Linked DNA regions of Cricetulus griseus. The protein of the gene in region 1 interacts with the protein of each later gene in a pairwise test. Links are inferred from orthologs where the notes say so. Each region holds a gene or a part of one and is shown in the gene's direction. Other genes may lie near its edges.

Region 1 (4,488 bases):
GACATTGTGGACAGAACTTTCCCACTATCACAGAGTTCCATTTAAAGGCACTAAGAACAAAGAGAACGCATCCCTCGAGTGTATACGCCTAGAAAAAGAGACAATAGTCGTTTCAAGGACCAGTGAGCAATACATAAAACAGAAGAGTCACTAAACTGACACTGTGACAGAAACTCTGTGATTTTGAGAGAGTTGAACCGATACTAGTAGGAAGGGAAACCTTTTCTCTGTATAATGAACCCTAGGCAGGCAGGCATTGGTGGAGCACTCCTGTGATCCCAGGATGCAGGAGTCAGAGGCAGGTGATCGACAGCCCATAAAAACATATACAGAAATGTTTTATAGGGCCCAGTGACTCTGCTGTGATTTCTATTTTCACTGCTGACAGGTACTTTTTACGGTGTGATGAGGTTGAGATAAGGCTCCTGGTGTCAACTAATTTGCACGTATAGTAGTCACTAAAAACCCTGCAAGAGCCTGGGTTTCCTGAAGAACATCCCACACACACATTATACAGAACAGCTGGGAAGACACACACCACTACCAAGATTTTTTTTAACGTGCTGAAGCCTAGTACTTTGGAATTAATGCCCTGAAGAAAAGCACGGTGTCCAGACATTACCAATCACCTCTCTTTTTCCAAGTGAGATTTAAAACACGTTTCAGATAAAAAACAAAAAAAAACCCAAACCTGACTCAAACATGTAGGAAGTGATTCTTGGATAGTTAATGTGCCTGGAACCCCGACCTCCAAACCTCCAACAGCTCCTTTTCCTCTCCCTCTGACATTAGACCAAATTAAAGCCAGGCTATTATTACTGCAAGCAAAATGTAAAAGTCACTTTCTCCTAGAGCGCCCCCCTCTTTTTTATCGCTGCCTGCAAATAATTCTTAGTGCGAAAGCCTATTCCCAACTTTTAGGTCCTATTGGCGACAATACTATGGCCTGACGGACATGAAGAAGTACCAAGAAAAAGAAGGTACGACTCCTGACAGGTTCCTGGAATGAAGAGTTGGCTTTGCCAAAAGGATGCGCCTGGGAAGGAAGAAGCACCACACGGCGTCCCTTGCTGCAACACGACCCGAGGACATCTTTGTCAGCCCGCGAGGAACCGAGAGCTTCCGTCCCGATCCCCCTCCTGGGGCCTTCACGACCCCAAGCTCCGTCCCACAAGAGCCCCTGCAGTCCTACCAAGTCACTCCCATGGCGCAGGGTCAAAGGGGTGGCACTGCCAAACACTCGAAGTCAAGGGATCCAGAGGCCCCTGGAGGTAGAGCCGCCTAAAGCAGGATGCAGGCTCCGGAAATACGCAAAATCTGAGCGCCAGAGCGGTACACCCACAGAAGGGAGGCGTGCCCGGGCGCTCCAGCGATGAACGAATTCCGTCATCAGCCCGGCTCCGCCCCCAGGGCGCGCTTTGCTTTGACAGGACCTCTCAGGCTACATTCATGAATTCTGTCTGGAAAAGGTGACTTGGGACATCCACCCACTTCCGTACAATGAGATTACCTGAGAATCTGGGGAGTCCAGCTCCCGCCCCGGAGCTCCTGGAGAGATGGCGGTATATGAGGCACTTCCGGCCTCCGAACGCTGGGGGGCGCTGTGAACTCTCGGTGACCTCCCGAGCACCGGAACACAGGGCGCAGACACAGTCCTAGTTTTAAACCGGCTTCCCACGTGTGAGTAGCATCGGCAAGTTTTTCGAGAAAAATGCCCAAATTGAAGGTGGCCCGCGGGGCCCGGAATCAGGAGAAGCATGCACCTCTGGCCGAGCAGATTCTGGCTGGGAATGCAGTGCGCGCGGGGACCCGAGACAAGCGGCGGGGACGCGGGGTTGAAGAGGAGGAAGAGTATGTTGGACCCCGGCTGAGCAGACGCATTTTGCAGCAAGCCAGGCAACAGCAGGAGGAGCTCGAGACTGAACACGGGACTGCAGACCAGCCTGCAAAGCCACGGGAACGCGCCACGCGGCTGGGTGAGTGACACGGGCTGGAGTGGTGGCATGGGCCGGACTAGCTCAGTCCATCCGGATACGGGTTTGGAATTACAAAGAGGAGGCAGTTTTTCCTTCCCGCGTGGTCCTTCACTTCAACGCGTACCTTCTGGAACCTACCTCAGAGTTCCAACAGGAAGTAATCACTCACACCAAGTTCCAGTATTTATTCTCTGGGCTTGTGAAGTATGACTGTGTTTCCTGTGCAATGCTTTGAACTGTGTTAAGAGTTCAGGCAGTTCTAAGCCGGGCGGTGGTGGCACACACATTTAGTCCCAGCACTCGGGAGGCAGAGGCAGGCTGATCTCTGTGAGTTCGATCCACAGAGAAACACTGTCTTGAAACCCCCCCCCCCAATAAAAAAGAGTTTAGGCAGTTCTGATACCGAAATAAACAATGTACTCGTCCTTGCTTTTAGCACCGGAAGTCTACCCCAAGGCAGAGAATATTAAATAGAGTAACATATTCCAGCAATGAGCAGCGGTGCTCGCCTGTAATCCCAGCAGGTGAGAAGCTGAGGCAGAAGAAGGCCCTCGTGGACTACATAGTAAGGTCCAGATCAGCCTGATATACATGGTATACCTCTATCGATCGAGACAGTAAAAGAAAATGAATATATTCCTATTCAAAACAACAACAACAAACCCGCCATTAATTCAACAGGCCAGGCACCCCAGTTTTGTGCCCTGCCGACTAAGATATAAAAAACATGGGAAATGTTCCATTAACCGAGGCAGGAAAACAGTTTAGAATCGAGTGGGGGTGGGCGGCAGAGATGAGTGGGAAAGTACCTGATACTTGTCTCATTGGGAAGGTTGACCTCCAGTTTCTTAGTCTTGCCTTCTTATTCTAAAAGCAGTATTGAGATGATTGAATATGGCTTTAGGGCCATAGTAGCTTTACTTCCTTGTTTTGAGGTAGGGTCTCATTCCCAGGATGGCCTCAAACTCTGTATGTAGGTGAGGATGACCTTGAACTACTGATTTTTGCCTCTGTTTTTCCAACTGATGGCAATATAGATATTTGACACCACACCTGCCCTTAAATTTTTGTTTTTAAATTACGATACTGTGTCTCCTTAAGTTACTCATGCGGGACTTGAACTTGCTCTGTGACCAGAGCAGGCCTGAGTTTTAGGTTTTCCTGTGTTGCTGTCTGCAGATTCCGGTTTGAAACCATGCATTTGATGACTACTCCCAGCTTTTTCTCTCAGACATAGTTCTTTCAGTAAACTAACATCCCTATATCCACCTGTCTACCTGACATCTCACTGCTTGCTCCATGGAGTCTCTTAGCACATTAGCCTCCCCTTGCTCAAGGCTCCTCTTTCTCATTCTACATCAGGTTTGTCAGTAAACCCTGATGATTTGTGTCTTCAGGATATATCCACTTCCTTAGCTTGGAACATCCTCCTGTTTGAGTTCCCTTGAATCACTGTGGGAGCATCATCATTTACTGTTCTCTAACGTCTGTAATCCATTCGTCAGCTAGTGATCAGTGACAACCTGTTGGGTCCACCTCTGCTGACCAGATGCTAGGGAGGTGATGAGAAAATTCAGTTGGTGAAATACATGCTTTGGAAGCAAGAGCCCCTGACCTCAATACACAGCAGCTCGTAATCCCAGAACTAGGGGGTTGAAGACAGATTTCCTGGTCTACATAGTGAGCTCCAATCAGCCAGAGCTACACAGAGAAACCCTGTCTCGAAAAACAAACCAAAAAAAGGCACTTATTTTTTCAGAAAGACGAGAGTTTGGTTCCAAGTATTCACATGCCAGACCACTGCTATCTATAACTCCAATTCCAAGGGCTCATATGCCCTCTTCTGACCTCTTTGGGCACCAGGGACATTTATGACTCACAGGCATACACATAAAATAGTGTATATAAGTCTAAAACAAAATTAAAAAAAAAAACCAACAAAACATGGGTCTCGCTGGACATGCTCTGCGTACTCTCCTGAGCTATGTGTACCCTTAGTCCAATTCTGTTGCAAATGACCTGTTGTTATATAATATTTCAACTCCTTTGGTTTGTTAGACTCTTCCAGGGTCTTTGCCAGCTATGTGTGGTGTTTCAAAAGTCAGCCAGGTGTATTGGCACGTGACTTTAAATCTGAGCACTAAGGAAGCAGAGGCAGACAGATTTCTGTGAGCTTGAGCAAGTTCCATACCAGCCAAGGTTACATGGTCAGACCCTTGTCTCTCAAAAACAACAACAAAAACAAACAAACCAAGAGTTCAGTGTTAGAATTACAAACATGGACCACACTGTCTAACACTTGGGAGGTAGAGACAGAAGAACAGCCTCAGGGCAACACATAGACTAATAGAAATGGGTTAATTTCAATTAAAAAGCTAAGCAGAAACAAGCCTAAAGCTAAGGCCAAACATTCATAATTAGTAGTAAGACTATGTCATGATTTGGGCTCTGGCAGTCCCAAGAAAGCCTGCTGCTCCGAGTCTGTAACTTCACATGTATATATTGGTTGATT
Region 2 (3,881 bases), on another chromosome or scaffold:
TCATTGTGTCCTCAGCCTCCTTATCTCTTGTCGTGTTTTCTCATTTAAGCTCTAGCGCCCTGGCGGTATGGCAGCTGGCCCTATCTGCCTGATCGAGTGTGATTGCAGAACCTCTCTGCACCAGCTTCTGTCTGCAAAGCCTTTGCTGCTCTGATGGGGTGCGGCCCAGCTGCACCATGTTTAATCAGCTCCGGAATGGTGTCTGCACCCAGGAGACTGTGGCTGCCTTTCTTCATTATGAGTGTTCCATCCAGGCTGGAGGCTCTTGCAATCCTTTGTTCTTCCTCCATTTCATTCTTTCTTCATCTCTTTTACACTCTTCCTTTTGATGCTCTGCTCTGCTTCATTGACTATGACTCAGAAGATAAAAATCTTCATTTTCATCTTATTAGTGGCTTCTGAAGCCGGGCATGGTGGCGAAGTAATTTAATCCCAGTACTCAGGAGGCAGGTGGATCTCTGTGAGTTCAAGGCCAGCCTGGTCTACAGCGCTAGTTCCAGGACAGTCAGGACTACACAGTGAGACCCTGACTCAACACACACACACACACACACACACACACACAGAGAGAGAGAGAGAGAGAGAGAGAGAGAGAGAGAGAAAGAAAAATCTCTGTAAACATCCTTAATCCTATTTTTTATTCTTAAATCATTAAAAACATTTCCTGTTCACTTTGAAGATGAGGGGATACTGAGATGGGGGATGAAGTGTCAGTAGTTTGACTTAATCTAATCATTGAGACGGCACAGCTTGTCAAGGAGCTTACTACCAAACCTAATGACCTGAGTCCAATCCCAAGGACTCACATGGTGGAGGGTGAGAACAGACTTCCACAGGTTGTCCTCTGACCTCTATGCATGCATCATGGCACAAGCACACACATGCATACATAAAAATACACACACAAATAAATAGTGAACAATTAGTGGCTAACGTATTTTCTTTCTTTACCTCGGAAGCCACTGCTCACACAGCATCTGTCTTAGGGGATCTTTCTCTGTGGCTCGAGCCTGGATGTTAGAGGAGATTCTCCACTGATCACTCTCTACACAGTCACCTGGCAAATCAAATGCTCTTCAGGGTTCTGGGTGGCTCTCAATGACTACAAATGGCTTGTCACAGGGTGCACCCACAATAGCCCCCCGGCCCTCCACTGCAGAGCTGCTCTCGGCTCTTGGCAGAGGAAAAAAGGGTAGTGTCTCCATCGCTGCTCTACCCCGCAGAAGGTGACCTGTCTTTGGAATTCACATTTTCTGCATTTACTGACTGCCTTGTCAGGCCCTGGTCTGATTGATGTGAACCCACGTCCCACTCCTGTCCGGTAGCCTTTTCGGGGGGAGGGGTGCTTATTTACGTATTTGTTTGTTTTGATCATATTATGTCATCTTGGTCATTTGGAGGCATTCCGTAGTCGGAGTCCATGGGTGGCATCAGGTTGTTAGAAAGACAGCCAGGGGCTGCCTGCACCTCAGACTAGGGTGTCTTCTCCACCAGCGTCTGCCGGCAATGGCTCCAAGCCAGGCCTTGGGACAGAATGTCCACTTTCATGTACCCTCCCCCTGTGCCACCCCCACGCCTTCTTCCTCAGGCTCTCTGTCTTCCAGCCATGTTTCCCAATGTGTAATTATTGCTAATTAATTCCCAGTCAGAGTGATGGATAGTTTAATTTGCTTTCCTTGAGAGGCTTGTTTTCCCCTGCTTTGCCAGGGACTGGGCAGAGTTCCAGTGTACAGAGGGAGGGGTCACTCCAGAGGGTGAAGTCTCAGCGCTGGAGGTCCAGCACTCTCCCCACCCACCCTCCCTGGCGGTGGTTACCTCCGCACCCCTGTTGGCTCTAAGAATCCAAACTTCTCCCGTCTCTGCAGCCTTGTGCAGAGGCAGGGATCTCCACGAGGGATATCAGTACTGAAGTCTTACCAGAGGGAGAGGTTCTGCTGCACACCGTACAGCACCCCCCCTCTCTCCAGAGCTTGCTCCCCACCTCTCCACTCCCCCTACTTTTGTGCCCCCACTTCTGAGCACAGGTCTCAGAGGATTTCTTTGGGAGCCATTTAACTTTCTTGCCTGCTCCAATTTTCTTCAGTTAGTTGTCTGAATAGTGACATGAAGACTTAGGGCCACAAAGAATTCTTGTGGAAGCAAGAAGGGAGCGGAGTCCATGAGGCCATATTCCCTGTTGCTTTCTCTCTACTACAGAAACAAAAATGCCACTCAGCGATTGCTGGCATTGTTACCAGCATTGCAGCCATTATCATCACCATCACCACCACCACCACCACCATCACCATCACCAGCATCACTGTTATCAACACTGCCACCATCGCCATGGTAATTGTCACTGCCAACATCTCCATTGCTGTCTTGACCATCAACATTGCCATTGCCATCATTCACCAACACCATTGCCAACATTATTATCACTGCCACTTTTATCACAGCAGCTACAGTTTACTATCTGTCATGTGATGGACACTGTGCCAAGCATCTTATACTCATCTGGTCCCTGATAGGTAAGATGGCAGAATGTACTACCACTGGCTGGGTTTGGAGAAGTGATCCAAATGAAGCCAGAGGTCCTGCTTTGGCCTCTGAATCTGGGGCCCTGCTGTGTATGCTCTGCACCTCTAAGATGCAGGAGGCAGTGCAAGGCCCCACAAAGCAGAGACATGAGCCCAAGGTGTCCCCAGCCACTGTGCCAGCCCACATCCAGGTTCTCCCCACTGATCCCAGGTGTATGAAGGTGGGAGCAATGTGGACCAGTTTGTGACCCGATTCCTTCTGAAGGAGACAGCCAATCAGATCCAGTCGCTGCTCAGCTCCGTGGAAAGTGCTGTGGAAGCCATTGAGGAACAGACCAGCCAGATCCGGTAGGTCAGTGGGACATATAGGGGGTACTTACAGCAGCCTGACCCTTTGTGTACCTCAAATCTTGGTGACCTTGGCCAAATTGCTGCACCTCTCTTTCACTCCCCAACTGCAATATGAAGATACACTTAGGACCTACTACCTGAGTTGTGAGACTTACATGGGACAGAACGTACTTAGGAGAATGGTTGATATGGGACATGCAACCATAGATCTTGTCACAGTTCTCCTTGTTCTTAGCTGGAAAGACTGAAGTCCCAGTCCAGGCCTGCTGCCTGGCTCACTTCTGAACACCAGAAACCAGCTTGGGAAGTGGTATCTGGCTACAGGATGGGGGATGTCACATGGTAGAAGTGAAATATCCAGAGGGAAATGTGTTCCTGCCGGGAGCCCTCCAGATCCCCAAGGGCGGCTTCTTTTTGACCTGGAGAGCTGCAGAGATGGAAGGAGCTACTGAAGGCAGCATAGGACCAAACTAATGCTGAAGGAGATGCTGGCGAGGGATGGAGTTCAAAGGGCTGCTCCTTTGTCTCTGGGTACATGGGCAAGCATGGGGGTTTCTCATGGGCACTGAGGATGCTGTGTGCTTGGTGCCTGGACTGGGACTTCAGTCTTTCCAGCTAAGAAGGGCCTGCTCAAAAGGATATGTGATAGGTAGAGTTTTAGTTGGGTGCGGTGGTAGGGGTGGGAGAGAGAAGTGGGATTGTCATGTAAAACAATCTTGTATCCAATTCAAATAAAAATATGCAAAAAGAAGAAGAAAAGAAGAAGAAGAGAAGAAAAGAAGAAGGAAAAGAAGGAGAAGGAGAAGGAGAAGGAGAAGGAGAAGGAGAAGAAGAAGAAGAAGAAGAAGAAGAAAAAGAAGGGCCTGCTCAGCTTAGAGCACAGCCACATGCTGCCTACAGCTGACTCAGGAAACTCCTATCTGTTCAGATCAGAAAAGGGGAAATGGGACCCACACACAGGCGGGCAGCTGCCAGGGAGCCCATATCCCTGGGCTATCCAGCCTTGGCTTT
Region 3 (3,881 bases), on another chromosome or scaffold:
TACTTAGGGGAAGGGAAACAGTTACAGGATTAGTATTGCTGAGAAGATGAAGAATAAAGTTTGAAGAGATGTAGGTATGTATGAAGTTGCCTAGAGAATTCAGAATTTAAGGTCATGGAGATAGAATTCAGACCATTATGTTTGAAGATGTGTTATCTTCCTGTAAAGCACATGTAGAATTATATTTCTGTTGTATGGAAACCTCTCAGGCTCTCCAATGATTTCAATGGCTGGTCCTTCATCCTTAGAGGACAGACAAGTACATTGCAAGCTTGCTCCCTCCCCCTCTGAAGAAGTGATAGGCACTAGCACTGATCTCATCGCATCATCCTACGAAGCCCATGCTCTTAACACACTGTACTCCTCTCAGTGCCCAGGGTTCTCATGGCCTCATCTGCCATCCCTGCCTGACAGTACCAGTCCTCAAGACCTAGCTCAGACTTGCCTATGACATCTTTGCAGACTCCTCCCACAACTGGGCATACCAAACTGTCCACAAATCCTATGGCCTTTCACTATAAGTACATTTATGAATATCTCTCTCAAGTAGATTGTGAGCTCCTTGATACCAGAAACCAATTCTTTACCCACATTGCCAAGCACATATTAGGTAATTCATATCTACTTGGTGAATTGGGGGGTAAATGAGTAAGTTGGGTGAGATTTCAGATGTTAGTGTGCATTCTGGTTACTGAGTTTGCTCCAGGTGAAGCTGTATGCTGCTGCCATGACCTAACCAGAAGTTAGTTCAAGTAAACACAGAAGCCAAGACCAAATGGACCTGGAGCCCCTGTGAGCATGGTGACTTAGACTGAACACTGGCACTCCTCGGACCATGCAGGAGGAGATCCTTACACTGAGAGAAACAGCAAGGAACCACGTAGAACATGGTCAAAGACAAGAGTGGGAGCGTATGGTTGGGAGGCTTATAGAAGATCGAGAAGCGAGGCAGCAGCTCTACCCAGACTGAAGTGAAGGTGTGCCTTCCATATAGAGACCTCAAGGGAGGAGAAGGCAGCAGGGGTCAGGTTGGAGCTCTTAGGAGGAAAGGAGCCTCTGAGGCATTTGTGCAATGAGTGGTCTTTCTGCCATCGCAGAGTGGCGGATTTTCAGGAAAGGGGTGGTCCTGAAGAAATGGTAGGTACTAAAATCCAACGGTCATTGCCTCATTGTCACTTTCCAGGCTCAAGGTGTGAAAGTTCTCTTTTTCTTTAAGTTCATAGGTGTCAGAAAAAGTAGCACTAATAATAGCATTCTGTTCCCATCTACCTTTTATGAGTCTGCTTGATCTAACAACAGATTTTATAAGCCTCATGTATTAAATACCGTTGAACCAAAGTAATAATCTACTTCGTAACATACAAAAACAAAATGTGTCAGTATCCCACTACGCCCCTTCTTCAACAGTGAGCGGTGGGTGTTCTCAGCCTGATGTGTATTCTTCACTTTTACCCATGTGAAACAACACACATGCAGACAGGGATCTTCTAATTCTTGGCGTTTTTTTTGCTTGTACATTATTTTGCAGATTGTTTTTCTCACTTAGGAATATGCTATAAACATCCATTCAGGTCAGTAGACAGAGTGCTAACTTATTTCCTTCCTAGTTGTTTTAAAAAAGCTGTGTATAAATATAGATACCACATAATTTGTTCTGTCATCCCTTGTTTGTGGATAATTGGGTAATTTCCAGTTTTTGCTACTATTAAAAAAAAAAAAAAAATGACCAAAAGAGAAAAAGCCGTGTTGATACCAGTGCTTTAGTGGCATGGCTCTTGTTGCTCTGTGACTTTGGTCAGTCATGTACACCATTGTCCATACCCCTTACCTCTCCCCCTCACTCCCTCCCTCCTCTTAGCTCTCCCCTCCCATTATTCCTCTTGCTTCCTGATTAGTTTTACTTCTGAAATCATGTCTTACACACATCCACAATTTTATGTCGATATAAAATCTAGGAACCACTCATGAGAATAAGCATAATATGTTTCTAAGACTAGCTTAATTGAGTTAAGATGGTTATCACCAGGTGGATTCATTAAAAAAATAACTTATCTTAGAGGCACAATAGCACGTAGCCACCAGTCACATACAGTAAGTTCAGTTAAGTAAAAGGTAAATAGGTCTTACATTGGCTTTCTCCAGGAAGTTTTTGTGGCCATCCTGAACTATACCAAGTCACATCTTAAAGAAGACCTTTTAATGGGTACATTTTAAAGTAAAATGTGTCTTTGTTGGTTGCCCCTGCAGTTACTTCAATGAGAATCAATACCCAGATGAAGCAAAGAGAGAAGAGATTGCCAACGCTTGCAATGCAGTCATACAGAAGCCAGGTAAGGAGGTGAGCTCAGAGGGCAATGTTCACTTACACTCAGTGGTCTGGACACTCGCCCTCCTAATGCAGGTCCCAGCCAGTGTTCTCCAGATAGTACTCCTGATGTTAATGTGGCGTGACTGAAGTGCTCACACACAATGACTCTCCATGACACTTGAGGCCTTGAAAGGTTTTTTAAATTATGGATTTGTTTTTCCAAAATTTAGCATAAACTTATCAATTCTGAAATAATGATAAAGTGTGAAAATTCAAGCGAATTTTGTTAGTTAAAGAATGTAAAACCATTTTCTTCACAGTTGCTATAAAACTGCACGGTCTTTATTTCTTTGTGGGGCAGCTTTTGGGGGTTGGGGCTTTTCACATTGGGATGACTTCTGCCTGGCTAAGAGAACATGGTGGTTCCCTTTTGAAGTCTCCGTGGGGGTTTGCAGCCACTCTGGTACTTCCTATGTGTCTTATCCCCTGTGTACTTCAGAGACTAGACACAAGCAGCTAGTTTCTGCATGGCCACTTGTTTTGATGGCTTAAAGACTATGTGAATATCAGAGTTTCATACAGTGAAGGGGGATTAGTCTCCTTTAGAAAGCCAGCCTCCGGTGATATCTACCTACATGCTCGGCTCTACCCTCAGGCGAGAGGAGTCTGTACCTTGGGTGAATAGGCCTACAGTCTCAGTGCAGGGATTGGCTCCCTCTGGAAAACAAATACAGATTAAAAGTTGAAAACAAGAGGACAGGAGAGCAGGGGGCAGTGCAGATGGCTGCTTACATGTTAGTATGGTATCTCCATAATAATTAACTGTGATGGCTGAGAAGACAGTAAATCTAAACTCTACCCTGAGTGGTACTGTGTATTACAGAACAATCACATGGCCATTCGCCTTCAACACAGCATGTATCTCTTATCTTACATAAGGTATAACATGTATGTTAAGAGACTAGGAAACTAAGAAGTCATTTTATGTTATCTGTACACTTCCATAAAGGATAACATCCCTCTCAATGATGCTAATTAAATGACACCTCCGTGGTACTAATCTGGGAACTACGATTTGATCTGGAACCCTAGTAAACGGACTTTGTGGGATTTTTTAAGATTGAGTGTGTCTCCCTGAGTTGTGGCTAGCTATATATTCATTTGTGTGTTTGTTGATGCAGTAATAATTTTAGTGGGTTCTTAGTACTAAGCAATGTAAAAAAAAAAAAGATTCCATCCCATCTGTTATTTTGGCAATAAATAGAATAAAAAGCAACTTTTAGCAGAGATATATTTCTTGAGAACAGTTCAGTCTTGGATCTAAGATACAGATTATCTGAATTTTTTTTGCATGTATTCACAGGCAAAAAGCTGTCCGACCTGGAACGAGTTACCTCTCTGAAAGTCTATAATTGGTTCGCTAATAGACGGAAGGAGATCAAGAGGAGAGCCAATATCGGTAATGTATCAGAGAGACTACTTTCTCTCATGAGAAGGTTAGAAATGGGATAAGAGTGTCCAGTTTATGAGCTGCGGGTCTAAGTGATTGCACAATTAGTTTCGACTAGAAGCA

Evidence for each region. The genes of interacting proteins can lie anywhere in the genome.
Region 2: the proteins of bystin (region 1) and Necab2 interact in binary tests that used the Homo sapiens proteins (3 or more experiments, as listed by UniProt). The two-hybrid records come from large-scale screens. The link is inferred for Cricetulus griseus from reciprocal best matches to the Homo sapiens genes BYSL and NECAB2.
Region 3: the proteins of bystin (region 1) and Hmbox1 interact in binary tests that used the Homo sapiens proteins (3 or more experiments, as listed by UniProt). The two-hybrid records come from large-scale screens. The link is inferred for Cricetulus griseus from reciprocal best matches to the Homo sapiens genes BYSL and HMBOX1.

Annotation. Positions count from the first base shown.
Region 1 is NW_023276806.1:255,579,550-255,584,037, forward strand, and holds the start of bystin, read left to right. Parts: upstream 1-1,615; 5' UTR 1,616-1,711; coding exon 1,712-1,976; intron 1,977-4,488. Other genes in the region: mediator of RNA polymerase II transcription subunit 20, read right to left, coding at 1,193-1,206. UniProt on the Homo sapiens protein: Required for processing of 20S pre-rRNA precursor and biogenesis of 40S ribosomal subunits. May be required for trophinin-dependent regulation of cell adhesion during implantation of human embryos.
Region 2 is NC_048596.1:196,094,744-196,098,624, forward strand, and holds part of Necab2 (N-terminal EF-hand calcium-binding protein 2), read left to right. Parts: intron 1-2,730; coding exon 2,731-2,867; intron 2,868-3,881. UniProt on the Homo sapiens protein: May act as a signaling scaffold protein that senses intracellular calcium.
Region 3 is NW_023276807.1:219,856,228-219,860,108, reverse strand, and holds part of Hmbox1 (homeobox-containing protein 1), read left to right. Parts: intron 1-2,247; coding exon 2,248-2,330; intron 2,331-3,671; coding exon 3,672-3,767; intron 3,768-3,881. UniProt on the Homo sapiens protein: Binds directly to 5'-TTAGGG-3' repeats in telomeric DNA. Associates with the telomerase complex at sites of active telomere processing and positively regulates telomere elongation.